3 linked regions of the Oryctolagus cuniculus genome follow. The protein of the gene in region 3 binds, or shares a complex with, the protein of the main gene of each other region. Links are inferred from orthologs where the notes say so. Each region holds a gene or a part of one and is shown on either strand. Other genes may lie near its edges. The genes, in order: protein tyrosine phosphatase type IVA 1, ARL15 and CNNM2.

Evidence for each region.
Region 1: the proteins of CNNM2 (region 3) and protein tyrosine phosphatase type IVA 1 are in contact, whole or in part, in a crystal structure (PDB 5MMZ), measured with the Mus musculus proteins. The link is inferred for Oryctolagus cuniculus from reciprocal best matches to the Homo sapiens genes CNNM2 and PTP4A1. Residues at the interface, in NP_291047.2 of Mus musculus: Phe526, Asp528, Val551, Asn553, Glu556, Gly557, Asp558, Pro559, Phe560, Tyr561; in NP_035330.1 of Mus musculus: Asp72, Gly73, Ala74, Gly107, Leu108, Gly109, Arg110, Arg137, Arg138, Gly139, Ala140, Phe141, Asn142, Lys144, Gln145.
Region 2: the proteins of CNNM2 (region 3) and ARL15 are in contact, whole or in part, in a crystal structure (PDB 8F6D), measured with the Homo sapiens proteins. The link is inferred for Oryctolagus cuniculus from reciprocal best matches to the Homo sapiens genes CNNM2 and ARL15. Residues at the interface, in NP_060119.3 of Homo sapiens: Asn490, Val492, Pro521, Leu522, His523, Phe524, Val525, Phe526, Thr529, Glu537, Lys542, Ser543, Gln549; in NP_061960.1 of Homo sapiens: Tyr92, Ser94, Arg95, Gln98, Gln128, His129, Pro130, Gln131, Cys133.

Annotation. Positions count from the first base shown.
Region 1 is NC_091432.1:77,597,402-77,600,245, forward strand, and holds protein tyrosine phosphatase type IVA 1, read left to right. Parts: upstream 1-1,487; 5' UTR 1,488-1,631; coding exon 1,632-2,153; 3' UTR 2,154-2,290; downstream 2,291-2,844. UniProt on the Homo sapiens protein: Protein tyrosine phosphatase which stimulates progression from G1 into S phase during mitosis. May play a role in the development and maintenance of differentiating epithelial tissues.
Region 2 is NC_091445.1:75,116,122-75,120,489, reverse strand, and holds the start of ARL15 (ADP-ribosylation factor-like protein 15), read left to right. Parts: upstream 1-1,567; 5' UTR 1,568-1,682; coding exon 1,683-1,730; intron 1,731-4,368.
Region 3 is NC_091446.1:27,088,414-27,092,717, reverse strand, and holds the start of CNNM2 (metal transporter CNNM2), read left to right. Parts: upstream 1-1,371; 5' UTR 1,372-1,556; coding exon 1,557-3,177; intron 3,178-4,304.

The sequences.
Region 1 (2,844 bases), on a different chromosome or scaffold from region 3:
TGAACTGAAATATTTTTATAAACAATGTCTAATTCATGGTGTTAACAATTAAATGCTTGACAACATTAATTGTTAAAGGAAGCTGAATCTTAAGCTATTTAATCACTAAAAGAATAGCAATGGGATGTATAATAGACTATATGTATTAGGTAGGCTCCAGAGCTAGAATGCAGAATTCAAATCTCAGCCTTGACAATTAGTAGTTGGGTGATTTTGGGCAAATTATTTAATGCTTCTAAGCCTATATTTTTAAAATCAGGACAATGGAAATACTAATATGTAAATCACAGGGCAGTTGTAAAATTTAAGTAAAGCTATTTAAATGTAGAACAGTGCCTCACCTAAAGTAAGTGCTAAAAAAAAAAGGTGTCAGTCACAATTACAACTTCCAAAACAGGAAGGGGAAAACATGAATATATGGGGGGTTGGGAACTTAACTCCAAAAGAAATGTAAAAAGATTCCTAAAGTATGGATATAGGAGTCAAATAGCACAAAATAAGGAAATATGAATCAAATAGCAAAAATAAGGGGCCAAAACATCATGCACGCAGTTTTAAAGTTAAAAGACAAAGGTTGTCAGGAAAAAAAAAAAGCTACTGTGCTGTTTATGAAACATGAAAGAGATGGGTAAAAGTGCAGGGTCAATAGGCTAGTCGGGGTCAATGCTTTGGAATCTTCTAGAACCTTCCTTCCCCTATGCTGGTCTCCGTCTACCCCCATGTTCCCTTCAGCCTCTTGGAGGCTTCCTCCTCCACCATCCCCATCCGCGTACCCCTCCTCAGCCGTCTCTGCTCCTCAGAGGCAGGCGGTGACTGAGGCTCCATGGCCTCTCCCTTTGGCCTTGAGTTCACACCAGCGGCACCCATGGCAACCATCGCCCCGGGGAGGGCCTCACGCCCGCGCTCATTGGCTCTCAGGCGGCCCTGCCGCTGCGGTTGGTGAGGGCGCAGTGCCTACGCCGCGCCGGCTATTAAAGGAGCGCTTGTGACGCAATGGCGCCTTGGCGCGCGTATTGGCTCCCGCCAGGCTGTGCCCGAGCTGCTTGGCCACGGTGGAGCCTCGTGTCTCGCCGCTGCCGCCGCCCTGTGACGGCCACTCCCGCTCCTGGACTTGCCGCTGCCGCCGCGTGTGTCGCCGCCACGGGCCTGGCTGTATGAGTAGGCCACAATCTTTCATGAGTAAACATATTCCTTTCTGTGGGGTTTTTGGTCACGCATTTATGGAGTTTCTGAAGGGCCCTGGAGATTACTGCCAGGCACAGCACGGCCTTTATGAGGACAAGTGAACTTGAGAAAGTCACTCTACTCCAGCAGGACGTCCCCATCAGAGAGAATAACCTGGACACAGACGTGTTGAATTGAAAGCATTGGAACATTTTACAAGAGTTCTGACCCGAATGGGGTAAACCTCTGTGCACTTGCTTTCCACCGACTCGGCATTATTAGTGAGTCGAAGAACAGCTGCTGCTTCTCAGGAAATTCATCTCATTTTCTGTCACCTGCCTATCTGAAGTGCTGAGAATTTCAAGTGGAGTGTATTGAGGTGGACTTCAGTTTCTTGACATCATTTCTGTATTCAAAAGCTTTTAATTTTTTCGTGACCGTATTGAGTGGTTTTAAACGAAATTAACATGGCTCCGATGAACCGCCCGGCTCCTGTGGAAGTCACATACAGGAACATGAGATTCCTTATTACACACAACCCAACCACTGCAACCTTAAACAGGTTTATAGAGGAACTTAAGAAATACGGAGTTACCACAATAGTGAGAGTGTGTGAAGCAACTTACGACACCGCCCTCATGGAGAAAGAAGGTATCCAGGTTCTGGATTGGCCTTTTGATGATGGATCATCTCCTTCCAATCAGATTGTTGATGACTGGTTAAGTCTTGTAAACATTAAATTCCGTGAAGAACCTGGTTGTTGTATTGCTGTCCACTGTGTTGCGGGTCTTGGGAGAACCCCAGTGCTTGTTGCCTTAGCGTTAATTGAAAGTGGAATGAAAAATGAAGATGCAGTGCAGTTTATTAGACAAAAGCGGCGTGGAGCTTTTAACAGCAAACAACTTTTGTATTTGGAGAAATACCGTTCTAAAATGCGGCTGCGCTTCAAAGACTCCAGTGGTCACAGAAACAACTGTTGCATTCAATAAAACTTAGCTGCCTGATGCTATTGCCTTGGAAGTGGAACTTGAGACTGGATCTAATTTTTCAGATCTATTAGCCAACATCTTAGTGAATAAGTCTAATGAAGCTCCCATAGGAATGTTGAAAAGCCACAAGCTTGACAGAATTGCCACTTCTGTTTTGCTTACTATTTATTATCCTATGCCAAAAAACAATATATAAAAAGTATAGTGAGATTAGATGCCAAGATACCCAGTACAATATGTGTTTATTTTTAGTATCATACAGAATTAAAATCCCAGGAACTTTGAACAGTACTCTAGACCTTACATCATTTATTCTTTAAGTCCTTTGAAACATTATAATAGGGCTTGTATGGTTATTTGTCTGTTCCTTTATGTTCACTACCCACAAGTGTACTGGTTTGTGCAACAAGTGATTTTGTTGGATTCTTATCAAGTCTTATGGTGATTATTTAGTCTTTCTATAAGTTCCTGTTAGGAAAAACTTTATTTTGAGAAATTAACCTCTGGTTTAAAGTTCATGCAAAATTCTCGTTGTGCAAGAAACACATGTGTTTAATGTCATCAGACAAAAAAGTCTTACCTTTGGGGTACAACTTAAGAGGGGAGGCAGAATGGGAGGAAGCTATGAAATATTTAGAGTAAAACACCTCTATCTTATATGGGATATAAAATAGGCCCTTTAATTTAGTGA
Region 2 (4,368 bases), on a different chromosome or scaffold from region 3:
AGAAAAACTGAACCAAGGGTATGCACACTTTTAATTTTTTTTTTTTTTAAATCTAGCTTTGGGGCCTACCCCGTGGTACAGTAGGTTAATCCTCTGCCTGTGGCCCCAGCATCCCATATGGGTGCCGGTTCTAGTCCTGGCTGCTCCTCTTCCAATCCAGCTCTCTGCTATGGCCTGGGAAAGCAGTACAAGATGGCCTAAGTGCTTGGGCCCCTGCACCCCTGTGGGAGACTAGGAAGAAGCACCTGGATCCTGGCTTTGGATCAGTGCAGCCCTGGCTGTTGCAGCCAACTGAGGAGTGAACCAGCGGAAAGAAGACCTCTGTTTCCTCCCTCTGTCTGTAGCTCTACCTCTGAAATAAATAAAATCTTAAAAAAAAAAAAATCTAGCTGTCTTCTTCCTTCTATCCCCAACTGCAAAGAAAGGAGGACTTGGGGAGGGAGGGAAGATAGGAATATCATTATACTCTTAGAGTTGTATCTGTGAACTATACTAAACTTGTTAAAAAGTAATTCAAAAAAAAAAAAAAAAAAAAAAAGGCGGGCTTATTTTTGCCTCCTTCTTGTCTTGATCGAGCATGGCACTCACAGACTGAATCTTCAAGAAAGGAGCCTCCAGTCTCCTTACCCACCTTCGGTTTGATCCAATACTGAAATCTCAATGCTAGTTTCCAAGTTAACAACGAGGAAACGCACAGATCTCAAGTCTACCTGCTCAGAGAGATTTCCACTTTTTAAAACGACATTGTTAGCACTACTCGGGCCTTTTCGGAGCGCGGCTCACTCTCACTCATCCTGTTCAGGGACCTTGGATCTGCGCTCAGGGACACTGCACTCCAACGCGTGCAACGCGCCGATCAGCCGGTACTGTCCCCTCTCCTGCGGGGAGAAACACAACTGACTCCAGCAACTCCTCCAACTCGCTTTCTCCTTTCCCGTGGAGAAAAGTGATTCTCCCGGGGACGGCCCCGAGTGTCCGCTGGCTGCCGGCGGGGCTTGTGTGTCCCCTCAGGAATGCCGCGCCGGGAACTGCCCACCTGAGCGGGTTCACAGGACGAGGTGCGGGCGGGCTGCGCTCCCCACAGCCGCCCACAAGCCAGCCGGTTCAGAGCGCCCTTCCACACACGTCCCGTCCAGGTGGTGCCGCCTCAAGGCCGCGGAGCCGCAGGGAGAGCGCCCTCGGGCTACCACGCCTCCCTCCTCACAGACCTCGCTTCCTACCGGAGGCTGCGCGGGGACGCCGAGGGCCCTGGAGCACCGCGCTCCGCTCCGTTGTCCCCAACCCGGAGGCCACGGCAGCCCACAGAACGCAGGCAGCCGCGGCAGCCGCCGATTTTCCGTTCCCCCAGTTCCCTCTTCCGCCTGCGCCGCCCGCCCCCGCTCCCGCCCCTCAGCCGGGCACACAGGAACCTGCGCCCTGCTCTCTCCCGCGCTTCTCCGCGGCCGCCCGTAGGGGCCTGCCTTTTATAGGCGCGGCAGCCAATGAGCGCGCTCCTTCCCTTCGGCCCGCCCGCCCGCCCGCCCAATCGCCGCGCCCCTTGTGTTAGGTTCGGCTCCTCGGCTGCTCTCGGTTATTTTCGCTGTTGCTGGCTTTTTCAGGAGCTGCTCGCTCGCAGCTAGAGACGCTGCCTTTTTTTTTTTTTTTCCGGGTTCGGAGCCGTTCCGGATGCTTTAGGCTGCCGGATGTCTGATCTCCGGATAACTGAGGCGTTTCTGTACATGGATTATCTGGTAGGTGCGGGCAATGGGGTGGTGTGTCGCCTCTGGGACCTCGGCTGGCCCCGCCGGCCGCCGCCGGGAGGAACTGCCTTTTTGCTTTCTTTCTCTGGGCTGGGATGCCTCGGGGGTTCTTCCTCCCGCTGCCGGCTCTTGAAGGCGTGCCCTGGGCTCTCGGGGTGGGGGGCGGCAGGGTGCGGGAGCTGACAGGTGACGGTGCGGCCCGGGCCAGCTCGGCGGCTGCGCGGGGGTCGCGCGGCGAGATGCGGGCCGGGCTGCGGGGCGTCCCGTGCCGGCGATGGAGGCTCCCTGGCTTCCCCGTGCGCTGCCCGCCGAGGACTTGCTTTTCCGGGGAAGCAGGAGTTTTCCGCTCTCCCCGGAGCACAACTCCAGGTGCTATTAAAGAGCCATAACCGAGAATGGCTCTCTAAGTGCCTGGCAGCCCCGCTCATTTGGTTGCTATTAGACTGGGAGAGCGCTGACCCGGGAGGCGGCGGGGTTCTGCAGGCACGTTCCCGGCCCGCGCCGGGGCGAGCCTGCACCGCCGTCGGGCCGGCGTCCTGCGCGCGGATCGGGTCCCGGCTGCACTTTGTTTAGGCCGGGCTCGAGCTGGGAGGTTGACGTGGGGGCGAAAAGCGGCAGCTCAGGGGCTGGGGCTGCTCGGAAAACTGACTTGTGGGAGTGCGCGCGTGTGGAATTATGCAAGCCCCGCGTTGTGTTCCAGAAATCTTGATTTCCCCATCGCCGCCTGTTTCCGTGGTGCCGAGGCTCTTCCCCGGCGCGGGCTGTGCTCGGCCCCGCGCCGTGGCGGCGTTTGCGGTGCGGGGCGGAAGCCGGCGGAGAGGGACAGCTGGCCCCGCTGTCCACCGGCTGGACGCGGGCACCTGGCTTACGGCTGCAGGTGGGCCCTGGCCGGGATGGGCCGGTGCCTTCTAGGAATTAGGCTGAAAGCTTTGCGGAGGCCGAGAGCCGCTGGGCAGGGCTGGTTTTTGCAGTATTATCTGCGCGTTTTGCGCTTGCAGAAAACGCCTGCCCTGTGCTACGTGCACTTGAGGAGGGAGGCTGCCCCTGGCAGCTCGTGTGCCGCCCTGCGAATGGAGCGCCGTCCAACATTCAAGTTCAAGTTCTGTGCTGTCGCTGCTATGTGGATGGCAGCGACTTCCTCTCTCCTGGCCTTCCAGGGATTCTGCTTACTCCCTGCTGAAGCAGGTGAGGGGACTGTCTTGTTGGCAGCGTGCTTTCCAATGCAAGGCGCTCTTGGGTTGAGCTGCCTGGTGCGTCCGAGAGATGACTTATTACGTTGCACGACGGATGAATGTGTAGCCTGTCTTAAAAAGTGTAGTGTGCGGTTGTGTCGTGCAGTCTGCCCACATTCAAGCTGAAGTGTGGTCGGGGGTTATTAGCAAACGGGAGAGGGTAAGCATCGCCTGGCTACCACCCAAGGCTAGTGTTGGATTCCTGAGTGAGTTGTGCCTAAAGAAGGCACTCAGGTGGTTCTGGTCATTTTGTTATTGTCTTTGTTTTACCGAATGTGTTTTAAATTTTCAAATTGTTATCACGCAGCTGTCTCTGAGGTGCCAAACCCAAGGAAGCTCTCAGTGAAAGCAATGTTGAAAACCGGTCGGTTACCGTTTAAATGGGTGCATGAATGTGGGCTCAATGGTGACCCAAAAACAGATCAGTTTCCATGCCAATTTACTGTTTGTGTCAACATCATGGGCCCCACATTTGACCTCACCTTTTTGTTTTACCTGCCACCCATCCACATACATTCTAGTTTTGCTTTGCTATATATATATATATATATATATATATATATATATATATATAAATTGTTTTGTTGCTTTAACCATGCTTGTAAAGACAAGTGCAGTGAGATAATTTCATAGAACTCTTTGGAAGTGAGAAAAAAATTTTTTAAACCAGTTCAATCCTTATGAGTGTATTTCCCAGATATTCCCTGTGAAAAGATTAAGAAAATCTTTCAGCATGAAACTGGACTGAAGAAAAAAAACACAAACAACGCCCTCCCACCGTGGTGCTTCCGTTCAGGTGCTGCATGTCAGCTTTTAGAAGAAATGTGCCACACGGCCCTCATTTTTCCCTGTCTTGCAGATCGACTTGTTTGCATATGCTTTATATGGTGTTTATTAAAAACTGCTTCTGAAAAAAAAAAAAACCACAATTTCTTGTGTCCAGGATCTTATTTTTTAAATGACTCCATCCCCAAATTCTTTTACTTACCTTGCTGGGGAGAAAAAATTCCTCTTATTCCAAGTTTGAGTCCTGATTTTGCATAGTAGACTAGAATAAGCTCTCTTCCCAGGCACTTGATGGGAATAATTGTGTGTGCCTTCTTTTTTTAAAATTGGGGTTTGCTTTTGGAATGTGGAAGAGAGCGAGCACACGCTGCGTGTGTCTGTTGTCATTGTTCTTTGGACTGGATGTCACCACCTAACCTTTATTATTTGGAGGGGAGAGGAAAGGAAGAGAAAGAGGAAGGTAGAGGTGCTATTTGTAACGGCTTTCAATCCGATTAAGATGGTAAAGCCGAAGCAGCAGTTCTCCGATCTTAGCTGTTGCTGTTTTTTTTTTTTAAGAAATGTTCTCAATTAGAGGTTATAGCTGGTGAGGGTCAAGGATAGTCCCTGAT
Region 3 (4,304 bases):
TCCAGCCCATCTTCTTTTTAATGCGCGTCCTTGGAGCCAGCAGGTTATGGCTCAGGTACTTTGGTCTCTCACTCAGTTCTCAGCTTTTGGCCTAGGGTTAGCTCAGCCTTGGCCGTGCCAGCCCTTGGGGAGTGAGCCAGCGGATGGGAGCCCCCTCTCTGCCTCTCTGCCTCTGGGGGCGGGAAACCCAGGAACTTTTATGGACCTTTTTAAGATGTCTGCCTCGTGGAGGATGGCCCAAGTGCTTGGGCCCTGCACCCCATGGGAGACCAGAGAAGCACCTGGCTCCTGCCTTCAGATCGGCGGGCCACAGCGCGCCAGCCATGGCGGCCATTGGAGGGTGAACCAACGGCAAAGGGAAGACCTTTTTCTCTCTCTCTCACTGTCCACTCTGCCTGTCAAAAAAAAAAAAAAAAAAAAAAAAAAAAAAATTCCACTCCTTTTCCAAACTTGCCTGATAGCCTGTTAGGAACGCAAGTTCTGGGCGTTTCCTATTTCACATGGATGGGATACAGCGAATACGTGTATACAGTCCTTCCAGCAAGACCACATGGGAATTCTTAGGACCAACAAGTAACGCCCCTAGTCTGGATTCCCGCACACCTGTTGGGGTGGGCAGCCCATCTGGAAAGTGTTGCAGGGCGCCCACAGCGCCGGCAGGTGGCGCCACGTGACCGCAGAGAGCGCGCTGCTCCGCGAAGCGGCGGGCGGTCTGAGAGCCGCTCTGCCTCGGTGCCGGGGCCGCCTGGCTGCCGCTGACTCCCGCAGAGCGGCGCGCACGAGTAGCGGGCGGGTGGGGGCATGGCTGGTGCCCGGTCTTCTTTTTAGGCCATGTGGCGCCTAAGCCGTGCTTAGTCGGCTTCTCGGGGTACCGGGACCGGAGGGTGCAGTCTTTGCGGCCCCCGCATAGAGCTCTACGGAACCGGCAAGGCTGTGCCGCCGAAAGGGCGGCCTCCCGCTGCGGGGCTCTGGCCCCACCCGGCCCAGCCGGGCGCGGGGATCTACTACCGAGCCCCCTCAGGGAGAACCGGACCCTCGGACAGCTCCTTTCCATTGGCAGCCGGGCGGGAGGCCCCGCCCCCTCCCCTACGGTTCTCATCTCTGACTGGTTCTCGCGTCCCGGCCGGCCACGCCTCCTCCCCTCGCACATACACAAGAGTCACGCGCCTTTCAGTAGGAAACTTGTCGTGCTGAGGAGGACCGTGGCCCTCCTCGCCCCACCCACTTACCTTGCTATTGGCCCACAGCACTGCGTGCGGCCACGCCCCCATTCCAGCCCCCTGGCTGTGAGGGCGGGCTCCCGCTCGTGATTGGCTGGCTGACCTGCCTCTCGCGGGAGCGGCGAGCCCGCCCCTCCTTCTCACTCCCGCCCCCCACCCCCCCCTGCCCGCGAGCCTCGGGGTTTCTCCGCTGGCTGCGGCCGAATCAGTGTCAGTCAGGGAGGCGGACTGATAAGCACTGGGCGCTGACGCTCCGCTGCAGTCTCGCCCCGGGGCCGGTGCCTGTGCTCGCGCCGCCGGGTAGAAGGATGAGGCCGCAGCTGGAGCAGCCACCCTATGATTGGCTGTGGCGCTTGTGAACCCGAAGTAAAGATGGCGGGCGGGCAGGCAGCCGCCGCACTGCCCACTTGGAAGATGGCGGCGCGCCGCAGCCCCAGCGCCCGCGACCGGGGGGTCCTGCAGGCGGCGGCGGCGCGGCTGCTGCTGCTGCTGCTGCTGAGCTGCTGCTGCGGCGCGGGCGGCTGCGCCGCGGCCGGCGAGAGCGAGGAGACCGTGATCATCGGGCTGCGGCTGGAGGACACGAACGACGTGTCGTTCATGGAAGGGGGGGCGCTGCGGGTGAGCGAACGCACCCGGGTCAAGCTGCGGGTGTACGGGCAGAACATCAACAACGAGACGTGGTCCCGCATCGCCTTCACCGAGCACGAGCGGCAGCGCCACAGCCCCGGCGAGCGCGGGCTGGGCGGCCCCGCGCCGCCGGAGCCGGACAGCGGCCCCCAGCGCTGCGGCATCCGCACCTCGGACATCATCATCCTGCCGCACATCATCCTCAACCGCCGCACGTCTGGCATCATCGAGATCGAGATCAAGCCGCTGCGCAAGATGGAGAAGAGCAAGTCCTACTACCTGTGCACGTCGCTCTCCACGCCCGCGCTGGGCGCCGGCGGCCCGGGCTCGGCGGGCGGCAAGGGCGGCGGCAAGGGCGGCGCGGGGGTGGCCGGGCTGCCGCCGCCGCCCTGGGCCGAGACCACCTGGATCTACCACGACGGCGAGGACACCAAGATGATCGTGGGCGAGGAGAAGAAGTTCCTGCTGCCCTTCTGGCTGCAGGTGATCTTCATCTCGCTGCTGCTCTGCCTGTCGGGCATGTTCAGCGGCCTCAACCTGGGGCTCATGGCCCTGGACCCCATGGAGCTGCGCATCGTGCAGAACTGCGGCACCGAGAAGGAGAAGAACTACGCCAAGCGCATCGAGCCCGTGCGCCGGCAGGGCAACTACCTGCTGTGCTCGCTGCTGCTGGGCAACGTGCTGGTCAACACCACGCTCACCATCCTGCTGGACGACATCGCCGGCTCGGGCCTCGTGGCCGTGGTGGTCTCCACCATCGGCATCGTCATCTTCGGCGAGATCGTGCCCCAGGCCATCTGCTCCCGGCACGGCCTGGCCGTCGGCGCCAACACCATCTTCCTCACCAAGTTCTTCATGATGATGACCTTCCCGGCCTCGTACCCGGTCAGCAAGCTGCTGGACTGCGTCCTGGGCCAGGAGATCGGCACCGTGTACAACCGGGAGAAGCTGCTGGAGATGCTGCGGGTCACCGACCCCTACAACGACCTGGTGAAAGAGGAGCTGAACATCATCCAGGGCGCGCTGGAGCTGCGCACCAAGACGGTGGAGGACGTGATGACCCCGCTGCGCGACTGCTTCATGATCACCGGAGAGGCCATCCTGGACTTCAACACCATGTCGGAGATCATGGAGAGCGGCTACACGCGCATCCCCGTGTTCGAGGGCGAGCGCTCCAACATCGTGGACCTGCTCTTCGTCAAGGACCTGGCCTTCGTGGATCCGGACGACTGCACTCCGCTGAAAACCATCACCAAGTTTTATAACCACCCCTTGCACTTTGTTTTCAATGACACCAAATTGGACGCTATGCTGGAGGAATTTAAGAAAGGTGGGAGATTCTGGTCTCTTTCCTTGGCTTGCTCCTCTTTCTCTCTCCATCCCCGCCCCCCACCTCCACCCCCAAACACACACACACACACACACACACACACACACTGGCGTCCTCCACCCTCACACCAACCCCCCAAGGCGAGTTGACCGGAATTTCTCCTTCTCTCTTTGTTGCGAAGTTGAAAGGGTGGCGTGGATTGGGGGGACGGATTGAACTGGTCCGCAAAGGCGCGAGAGTGCCGGCCGGGCGCGTCCTTGCTTGGTGATTCCTGTGCACGGTGATACCCTAACCCCGCACCCCCTACGCGGCGCACGGGGTGGGCTCGGGTCTCCAGGGGTCTGCCGCACTCCCTGTCTGGGTTCTGAGTGGGGCTGGGCTGATGCCATGCCATTTGGTTGCCAGGAACAAATCCCAGGCATCTGGGAAATATCGGAACAGCTTTCTAAACCTAGGACAGACTTCTTCGTCCTTTCGCTCGACCACAGTGAAGGTTCAGAGGCGCGATTCATTCTCTATAGCTTCTTGTTTCTCGTCGGGCACCCTGGGGTGAGGGTGGGGGTGGGGATAGGTTGAGGTCTGCCTCTGAGGCCTGAGGACCACCTAAGCCAAGTACCGCCACAAAAATTCATTCATTCATTCATTCATTCGGGATGTGGCTTGCCTTAGCTAGGATAGAGGTTTTCATGAGAACTGAAGCGAGCTGTTAACCTGTGACTTGGGCTGACCGGAGCAGGCGAGTTAGTTAACCTTTTGTGAGGCTCTGGCTCCTGTCTCTTTCTTCCCTCCTTGTTTACATTGACCTGACAACTAAAATATCCCAAACCAAGTGTGGTTTTGGCAAACAGCTTGAACCTTTAACAACGGCATGCCTCTTTCTCCGTTAATTATAGCTTATTTATTTCTTGACTGGCTGCAGTTTAAAAGTGTTCTTTTCTCACTTGGCCACCTGATAGGTTGACTTGGAGTCAGTCTCTAAGCCAGCTCTCCCTGTTCCGGGGTGTTCTGCAGGGACGGGCCAGCAGGGCCGCACCTGGTGTGGTTCTCAGCATCTCATTTCTCGCCCTGTGGCGGCTCTGGCGCGCGCCCGTTTTTTGTTTTTTTTTTTTTTTTTTTAACCGTGTAAC